Linked DNA regions of Oryctolagus cuniculus. The protein of the gene in region 2 purifies or fractionates together with the protein of the main gene of each other region. This does not show direct contact. Links are inferred from orthologs where the notes say so. Each region holds a gene or a part of one and is shown on either strand. Other genes may lie near its edges.

Region 1 (3,942 bases), on a different chromosome or scaffold from region 2:
GCCCAGCCCTGACCACGTGGTGTTTGGGGAGTCAGTCTTCTGTCCACTGGTTCATTCCCCAAATGACCACGATGGCCAGGCCTGAGCCAGGACACAGCCTGCAGCCAGCTTGTTCCTGTCTCCCAGTGGGTGCAGGGGCCCGAGCACTCGGCGCACCCTCCGCCACTCTCCCGGGCCACCTGCAGGGGGCTGGCGCCCAGGCCATGGAGGCCCCTGGGCTGTGTCCCGGGCTCATCTGCACAGCGCACGAGCCCCTCGTTTTAGCCCCAGCCGCCCCTCTCAGACCTGTCCCCAGCAAGGCCCGGCCCAGGATGGAGGTGCCCGCACCAGCGCCCGTGCCATGGGGAACAGCTGGGTCCCCTGTGCAGGCAGGGCACACAGTGTCCACTGCTTACCCCCGAGGCCCGGCGCCCTCCCCACCCTCCCCCTCACTACCACAAGGGGGGGCCCTCGGTGAGGGAGGGAGGCCAGGCAGGTTCCAGCTGGGCAGCCCCTCCCCCACCCTCGGCAGGAATCTCCCAGAATGCAGCTGTCCCACCAGAGCTGCCCGGATGCCGTCGGGCACAGGCCTCCTGGGTGCCAAGGAGGCAGGAGGCTGGGGACAGGGCCCGGGCTGCCCCTCCCTGCACAGAGGTGGACGTCGGTGGGCTGTTGGCAACTGTTTATTCTGAGCCCTGGGCCAGTGGCCAGCAGACAGGCCCCTGGGCCCCCAGCACCGCCGGTACAAACCAAGTCACCAGGGCGGGAGCCTGTCCGCTGGGCCGAGGCGTGGGGACTGTCCTGAGTGGCCGGGCTTGGGGCCGTGTGCACCCGCAGCCCGGGGGAGGGAGTGGGTGAGGAGTGAGGCCTCCAGTGTCCTGTGCACGCCGTGCTGGCCCCGCGGCCAGTGTGGGGCCGCCGCATGCAGCGCGGGCCACGTGAGGCTGTGCGAGTGCGTGCGGGGGCCGGGCCGGCCCCTCCTGAGGATCCCTGCTACAAGCAAAGCCACCCCACGCGGGGAGCACCCACGGGGCCCCGGCAGTGTCCCCGCGGCTCGAGCCAGGTCGGCCCTCAGCGCCTGTGGCAGCCGAACCAGGAGAAGAAGGGGCGGGGGCGCAGGCGCGGGGCCTGCAGGAGGCGCACGGTGCGCGGCGAGCGCCAGGCCTTGATGGTGGCGTCGTCGCTGGCGGTCAGCAGCAGCTCCTGCTCCCGCGGGCTGAAGACCACCGAGTTGACCACGTCCTCGTGCCGCAGCTTGGCCAGGCAGATGTTGTAGTGCCGGTCCCAGATGTAGCCGTGCCGGTCCTCGGCCCCGCTGTGGGCCCGCACCGGGATGAGGCTGCTGCCCGCCCCTGTTCTGCCGCCCGGCGCCCCGCCCCACGGAGCACGGCCCCCCCAGGTTCCACCCTGTCCCACCGCACCCAGCCCCGCCTCGCCCCGGCCCCGCCCGGAGCCCCGCGCCACGGAGGATGGCCCCCAGGTTCCACCCTGTCCCCGACCCCGCCTCGCCTCCCCCGGCCCCGCCCCACGGAGGCCGGCCCCCAGGTTCCACCCTGTCCCTGACCCCGCCCCGCCCCGCCCCACGCCACGCCCCACGGAGGCCGGCCCCCAGGTTCCACCCTGTCCCTGACCCCGCCTCGCCTCCCCCGGCCCCGCCCCACAGAGGCCGGCCCCCAGGTTCCACTCTGCCCCTGACCCCGCCTCGCCTCGCCCCGGCCCCGCCCCACAGAGGCCGGCCCCCGGTTCCACCCTGTCCCTGACCCCGCCTCGCCTCCCCCGGCCCCGCCCCACAGAGGCCGGCCCCCAGGTTCCACTCTGCCCCTGACCCCGCCTCGCCTCGCCCCGGCCCCGCCCCACAGAGGCCGGCCCCCGGTTCCACCCTGTCCCTGACCCCGCCTCGCCTCCCCCGGCCCCGCCCCACAGAGGCCGGCCCCCAGGTTCCACCCTGTCCCTGACCCCGCCTCGCCCTGGCCCCGCCCCGGCCCACAGGCCGGCCCCCAGGTTCCACTCTGTCCCTGACCCCGCCCCGCCACGCCCCGGCCCCGCCCCACAGAGGCCGGCCCCCAGGTTCCACCCTGTCCCTGACCCCGCCTCGCCTCGCCCCGGCCCCGCCCCACGGAGGCCGGCCCCCAGGTTCCACCCTGTCCCTGACCCCGCCTCGCCTCGCCCCGGCCCCGCCCCACGCCCCGCCCCAGAGGCCGGCCCCCAGGTTCCACCCTGTCCCTGACCCCGCCTCGCCTCGCCCCGGCCCCGCCCCACGGAGGCCGGCCCCCAGGTTCCACCCTGTCCCTGACCCCGCCCCGCCCCGCCCCACGCCACGCCCCACGGAGGCCGGCCCCCAGGTTCCACCCTGTCCCTGACCCCGCCCCGCCCCGCCCCACGCCACGCCCCACGGAGGCCGGCCCCCAGGTTCCACCCTGTCCCCGACCCTGCCTCGCCTCCCCCGGCCCCGCCCCACAGAGGCCGGCCCCCAGGTTCCACCCTGTCCCTGACCCCGCCTCGCCTCGCCCCGGCCCCGCCCCACAGAGGCCGGCCCCCAGGTTCCACCCTGTCCCTGACCCCGCCTCGCCTCGCCCCGGCCCCGCCCCACGCCCCGCCCCAGAGGCCGGCCCCCGGGTGCCGCCCCGCCCCGCACCTGGCCACGAAGTCCCGGCTGACGTCCAGGAAGATGAAGAAGCACTCGTCGTTGGGCGTGTAGGCGCGGTGCGCGCGCAGCGCCCGCTTCACCTCGCGCATGGTCTTGAGGTCGAACACCAGCAGGTCGATCTCCTCGGCGATGGGGGGCGGCTGCATGGGGTCGGCCACCACCGAGCCGCGGGGCCAGGCGCGGCTGTTGACGTACAGGTACCTGCGGCGGGGCGGGCGCTCAGCGCGGGACACGCCCCCACCTCTCCCCCGCCCCCGCCCCCCACCGCCGGGCGGGCGCACCTGTTGTCGGGCGACAGGCCCATGCCCACGATGTGTCCGTGCACGTCGATGACGTGGTCCAGCGCGTCGAAAAAGGCGTCGGAGCCGCGGCCCTCGCCCAGCACGGGGCCCGCCGTGGTCATCTGGTGCGGCAGGATCTGCTTGATGCCTGCGGGGGGCCGGCGTGAGGGGCTGCAGGCCCCAGCCCACCCGCCCGGGTGCCCTGCCCCGCGCGCCCTGCCCTACCGATCTGGTGCGGCGAGTAGGTGAGGCAGCCCGTGGTGAAGATGAGGTACTTGTTCCTGGCGTCGGCGGGGGCCAGCTCGGGGGGCTTGGTGTGGCCCTGGGCCAGCAGCTCGGCCACCCGCGTCTCCAGCACGCGCTCGGACAGCTGCGCCTGCGTGTCCAGCGCGCCGTCCGGGAAGCGCCGCGAGCCCCTGGGCCGGGGCGGGGCGGGCGCCGGGGCCGGCCCGTCCGAGTCGCTGTCGGGGTCGGAGTCGCCGCCCAGGTCGAAGACGCGGCAGGGCGCGGCCGGGCCGCCGGCGTCCAGCAGCAGGTCGGGGCTGTCGAAGCGGGAGCAGTCGGCCACCATGACGGTGCGGATGGTGCTGGCGCTGAGGTTCTGGATCTTGAAGAGCCGCTTCACCACGTTCACGTTCTCCGACTCCACGTCCTGGGCGGGCGAGCCGGGGGGCGGGGGCGGGGCGAGCCGGTGGGCGGGGGCGGGGGCGGGCGAGCCGGTGGGCGGGGGCGGGGGCGGGCGAGCCGGGGGGCGGGGGCGGGGGCGGGCGAGCCGGGGGGCGGGGGCGGGGGCGGGCGAGCCGGTGGGCGGGGGCGGGGGCGGGCGAGCCGGGGGGCGGGGGCGGGGGGCGGGCGAGCCGGTGGGCGGGGGCGGGGGCGGGCGAGCCGGTGGGCGGGGGCGGGGGGCGGGCGAGCCGGTGGGCGGGGGCGGGGGGCGGGCGAGCCGGTGGGCGGGGGCGGGGGGCGGGCGAGCCGGGGGTGTGGGATGGGGGGGTTGGGGCGGAGCTGGGGGCGGGGGCGGGAGTGGGGCGGAGC
Region 2 (3,803 bases):
GGGCAGCCCGACAGCTCCCATGCAGAACCCACCGTCAACATAGCCCTGAACCCCAGCCACAGAAGCCCTGGTCAAGCCGTGTAGACTACCCCCTGATCTCTTGTCAGAGGGATTGAGCAGTTCTTACAGAGATCCTGCCAGAGTCCTGCTGGGTTTCTAGGTTGTTGGCAGTGACATAGGTCAGGTGCCTTTTATAGGTAGGTCACCAGGCAGGAAGGGAAAGAGGCAGAGGATGCAAATGTTGGCTGTGTCCCCAAGGGTGGTACCTGTTAATTTAAGAGCTCCAGGCCTGCCGTTAGGTGACAGTGAGCACTGAGTCCTGCTGCAGCACCCTGAGCCCCCTCAGCTTACCTGCTTTCCAGGGATTAGGGCCCTGTTCTTCCTGCCTGGACTTGCTGGTTAGCCTCCGAGAGCTAGTTTTCATGCAGTGAGTATGTGTGGCTCATTCATTTCTTCTTTTGTAGCCCTGCTTTTGAAAATCAAGTAATTTCTGTAATATTCTTAAAAAGATACAGCAGACACAAAGCCAGCTGGGCAGAAGGCAGCAGTGTTTCTAGGCAAGGCCCCCCAGTGTGCCCTGTGCCCCTCTGAAACGCAAGTCTGTAGAGAGTGCTGGGCTCCCTTAGGCGCTGTTCTGAGGTTGAACTTGTGAGTCTTGGGAACTTCTGGGTGACTTCTGCTGATGTGACTTTGAATCCAAGCCACCAGAGAGGGACCCTCTGGGAAGCAGCCATGCTAGACCTCCCTGGCACAAGCAGGAAGGGTACTGTGTGCCTTTTGGGATTTTTTTACTTTTTGCCATTCATTCTTTTGTTTTAAAGGCAAGACTGCTGATAAATGCCTTTTAGAGAAACAACTAGGACAGTGGACTAGGACTGAGCACAGGGTAGAATGCTAGTGATGATGGCATAATCTTGAGCTAATCACCTGGTTATGTCTAAACACCACCTCGGTCAAGAGAGGACAGCCAGTACACGTGCCGAGGCTGAGCCCGGGAAGGCTGCTCTGGAGCCCCGGATGCTGCTGGCACTGGCCAGAGCTGACCCCACCTCAGGCAGGCGCGGCAGGAGCGGGTGCGGTGTGCACCTGACTCGCAGTGACAGTGAGTGCCGAGAAACCCGGGAGGCACAGCTTTCCGGTTGGGAGGCATGGCGCACTGCCTGAGGTCACCGTAGAGAGGTGCCAGGCCCAGAGCAGTAAGCCACTGATTCAGAGAGGAGGTGCAGCCCAGCTCTGGGACAGTGTCTGGCACGAGCAGGCACCTACTGCCAGAAGGCCGACTTCCTCTGTGAAGTCAGGTCAGAGGCTGAGCCAAGTGCGGTTCAGGCACACGCTGTCCAGAGCCTGGTGCCCTCCCGGCGTGGCTGACCGCAGGGTAGATGTGGCATGCCTGGACGGACTCCTCCCGGCTCACTGAGAAGCAGACTCGTTTTCTTGGTGGAGAGCCGACTTTCAGACTTCTCTGTTGTGATAACTTGTTCTCCTTTGTCTTCACAGAGACTAATAGACAAGTCACGAGTAACCTGTGTCAAGTGGGTCCCCGGCTCGGAAAGCCTTTTCCTAGTGGCTCATTCGAGTGGGAACATGTACTTGTATAACGTGGAGCACACTTGTGGCACCACTGGCCCTCACTACCAGCTCCTGAAGCAGGGAGAGAGCTTTGCCGTGCACACTTGCAAGAGCAAATCCACGAGGAACCCTCTCCTTAAGTGGACGGTGGGCGAGGGGGCCCTCAATGAGTTTGCTTTCTCCCCAGATGGCAAGTTCTTAGCGTGCGTGAGCCAGGACGGGTTCCTGCGGGTATTCAACTTTGACTCGGTGGAGCTGCACGGTACGATGAAAAGCTACTTTGGGGGCTTGCTGTGTGTGTGCTGGAGCCCGGACGGCAAGTACATTGTGACGGGTGGAGAGGACGACTTGGTGACAGTCTGGTCTTTTGTAGACTGCCGAGTAATAGCTAGAGGCCATGGGCACAAGTCCTGGGTCAGTGTGGTGGCCTTTGACCCCTATACCACTAGTGTGGAAGAAAGTGACCCTATGGAGTTCAGTGGCAGTGACGAGGACTTCCAAGACCTTCTCCATTTTGGCAGAGATCGAGCAAATAGTACACAGTCCCGGCTGTCCAAACGGAACTCTACAGACAGCCGCCCCGTAAGTGTCACATACCGGTTTGGTTCAGTGGGCCAGGACACACAGCTGTGCTTGTGGGACCTCACAGAAGACATCCTTTTCCCTCACCAACCCCTTTCGCGAGCAAGGACACACACGAATGTCATGAATGCCACAAGTCCTCCTGCTGGAAGCAATGGGAACAGTGTCACCACGCCCGGAAACTCCATGCCCCCTCCTCTGCCGCGGTCCAACAGCCTTCCCCACTCAGCAGTCTCCAATGCTGGCAGCAAAAGCAGCGTCATGGATGGCGCCATTGCTTCTGGGGTCAGCAAGTTTGCGACACTCTCACTACACGACCGGAAGGAGAGGCACCACGAGAAAGATCACAAGCGAAACCATAGCATGGGACACATTTCTAGCAAGAGTAGTGACAAACTGAATCTAGTTACTAAAACAAAAACAGACCCTGCTAAAACTCTGGGAACGCCCCTGTGTCCTCGAATGGAAGACGTCCCTTTGTTAGAGCCACTGATCTGTAAAAAGATAGCGCATGAAAGACTGACGGTATTGATTTTCCTTGAAGACTGTATAGTCACTGCTTGTCAGGAGGGATTTGTTTGCACGTGGGGAAGGCCTGGGAAAGTGGTAAGTTTTAATCCTTAATGCTGCACCGGATCTAGACTTGAATAGGTAGTAACTGTTTTTTCTCGAGGGGGGGTGGGGTGTACAATGAATGTGAATGACACTTCTGATTCTTGATGTAAATCCAAATGCATCAGAGCCATAATTTTGGATACTGCATGCCATGTAATTCCGAATCATTTGATAATTCACCTGAGAGCATTTAAAAATATAATCAAGCGAGTTGCCAGCCAGGTCAGTCATCCTCTTGGGAGCGTAGAGTCCCAAGGCCAGCACTCCTGTGTCAGACTATTTCAGGTGTAGGAAAATCATGACAGTGTTGGGAAACGATGACTTTAAAATGCTACAATTAAAATCGATGCTTTAACTGGAATACTTTTGCTTAACTACTCCATTAGAGTATTGTACACCTGATCAGAGTGTGTGTTCAGTACAAGGGGCTGTTGCCATTTATAGTCCACTTTTTTATCTTAATCATAAAACTGTTTAGGAGTCTATGAAATTTAACGTTAGGGACAAAGCGTTCAGGGTTGATTGATATTATTTTTACATTGTTCTGGCAATCCACAGAAGGAGAAGAGCCTTAATTTTTAAAACCCATTTTAGTCATTTTATGACAATTAAAATTGTTTAATAAACATCTTTTTTCAAAGAAGCAGTTTGTAGAACTTTGATTGAGATTCTGTGCACTAAAGTCTTCACATGACCCAGAGTCTGGACAGAGAGTGAACTGTGGGCTGAGGTCGCCAACAGCTGTTGTCAGAAGTGCCTCTTGCCGCATGAGCCAAGACCTTTGACCTCAGATGCACTTTACATACTTTTTTTTTTCCCCAGTGAGAGAAGAGGAGGGTTCTTTGTATTTTGCTTTGTTTGGTTTTGTTTTTGTTTGGCTCAGCAAGACATGTGACTGCAGCCTGTGGCAGCGCTGCCCGACAGGCACCTGCTTGGGTTCAGTCCCCCACAGGGGACGCGCAGGGCAGGCTTTGCTGTCCCCTCTTCCTGGAAGGCAGTTGTGACTCTGCCATTACTCCTGGGACGCTGATGCTGCC

What was found.
Region 1: the proteins of WDR20 (region 2) and FBXW5 purify together in Homo sapiens (co-immunoprecipitation; 3 studies listed by BioGRID and IntAct, counting the BioPlex papers as one, with this or other methods). This does not show direct contact. The link is inferred for Oryctolagus cuniculus from reciprocal best matches to the Homo sapiens genes WDR20 and FBXW5.

What each region holds. Positions count from the first base shown.
Region 1 is NC_091432.1:237,322,273-237,326,214, forward strand, and holds the end of FBXW5 (F-box/WD repeat-containing protein 5), read right to left. Parts: intron 3,560-3,942; coding exon 3,133-3,559; intron 3,056-3,132; coding exon 2,908-3,055; intron 2,828-2,907; coding exon 2,615-2,827; intron 1,295-2,614; coding exon 1,051-1,294; 3' UTR 647-1,050; downstream 1-646. UniProt on the Homo sapiens protein: Substrate recognition component of both SCF (SKP1-CUL1-F-box protein) and DCX (DDB1-CUL4-X-box) E3 ubiquitin-protein ligase complexes.
Region 2 is NC_091451.1:45,460,093-45,463,895, forward strand, and holds part of WDR20 (WD repeat-containing protein 20), read left to right. Parts: intron 1-1,497; coding exon 1,498-2,757; intron 2,758-3,803. UniProt on the Homo sapiens protein: Regulator of deubiquitinating complexes. Activates deubiquitinating activity of complexes containing USP12. Anchors at the base of the ubiquitin-contacting loop of USP12 and remotely modulates the catalytic center of the enzyme.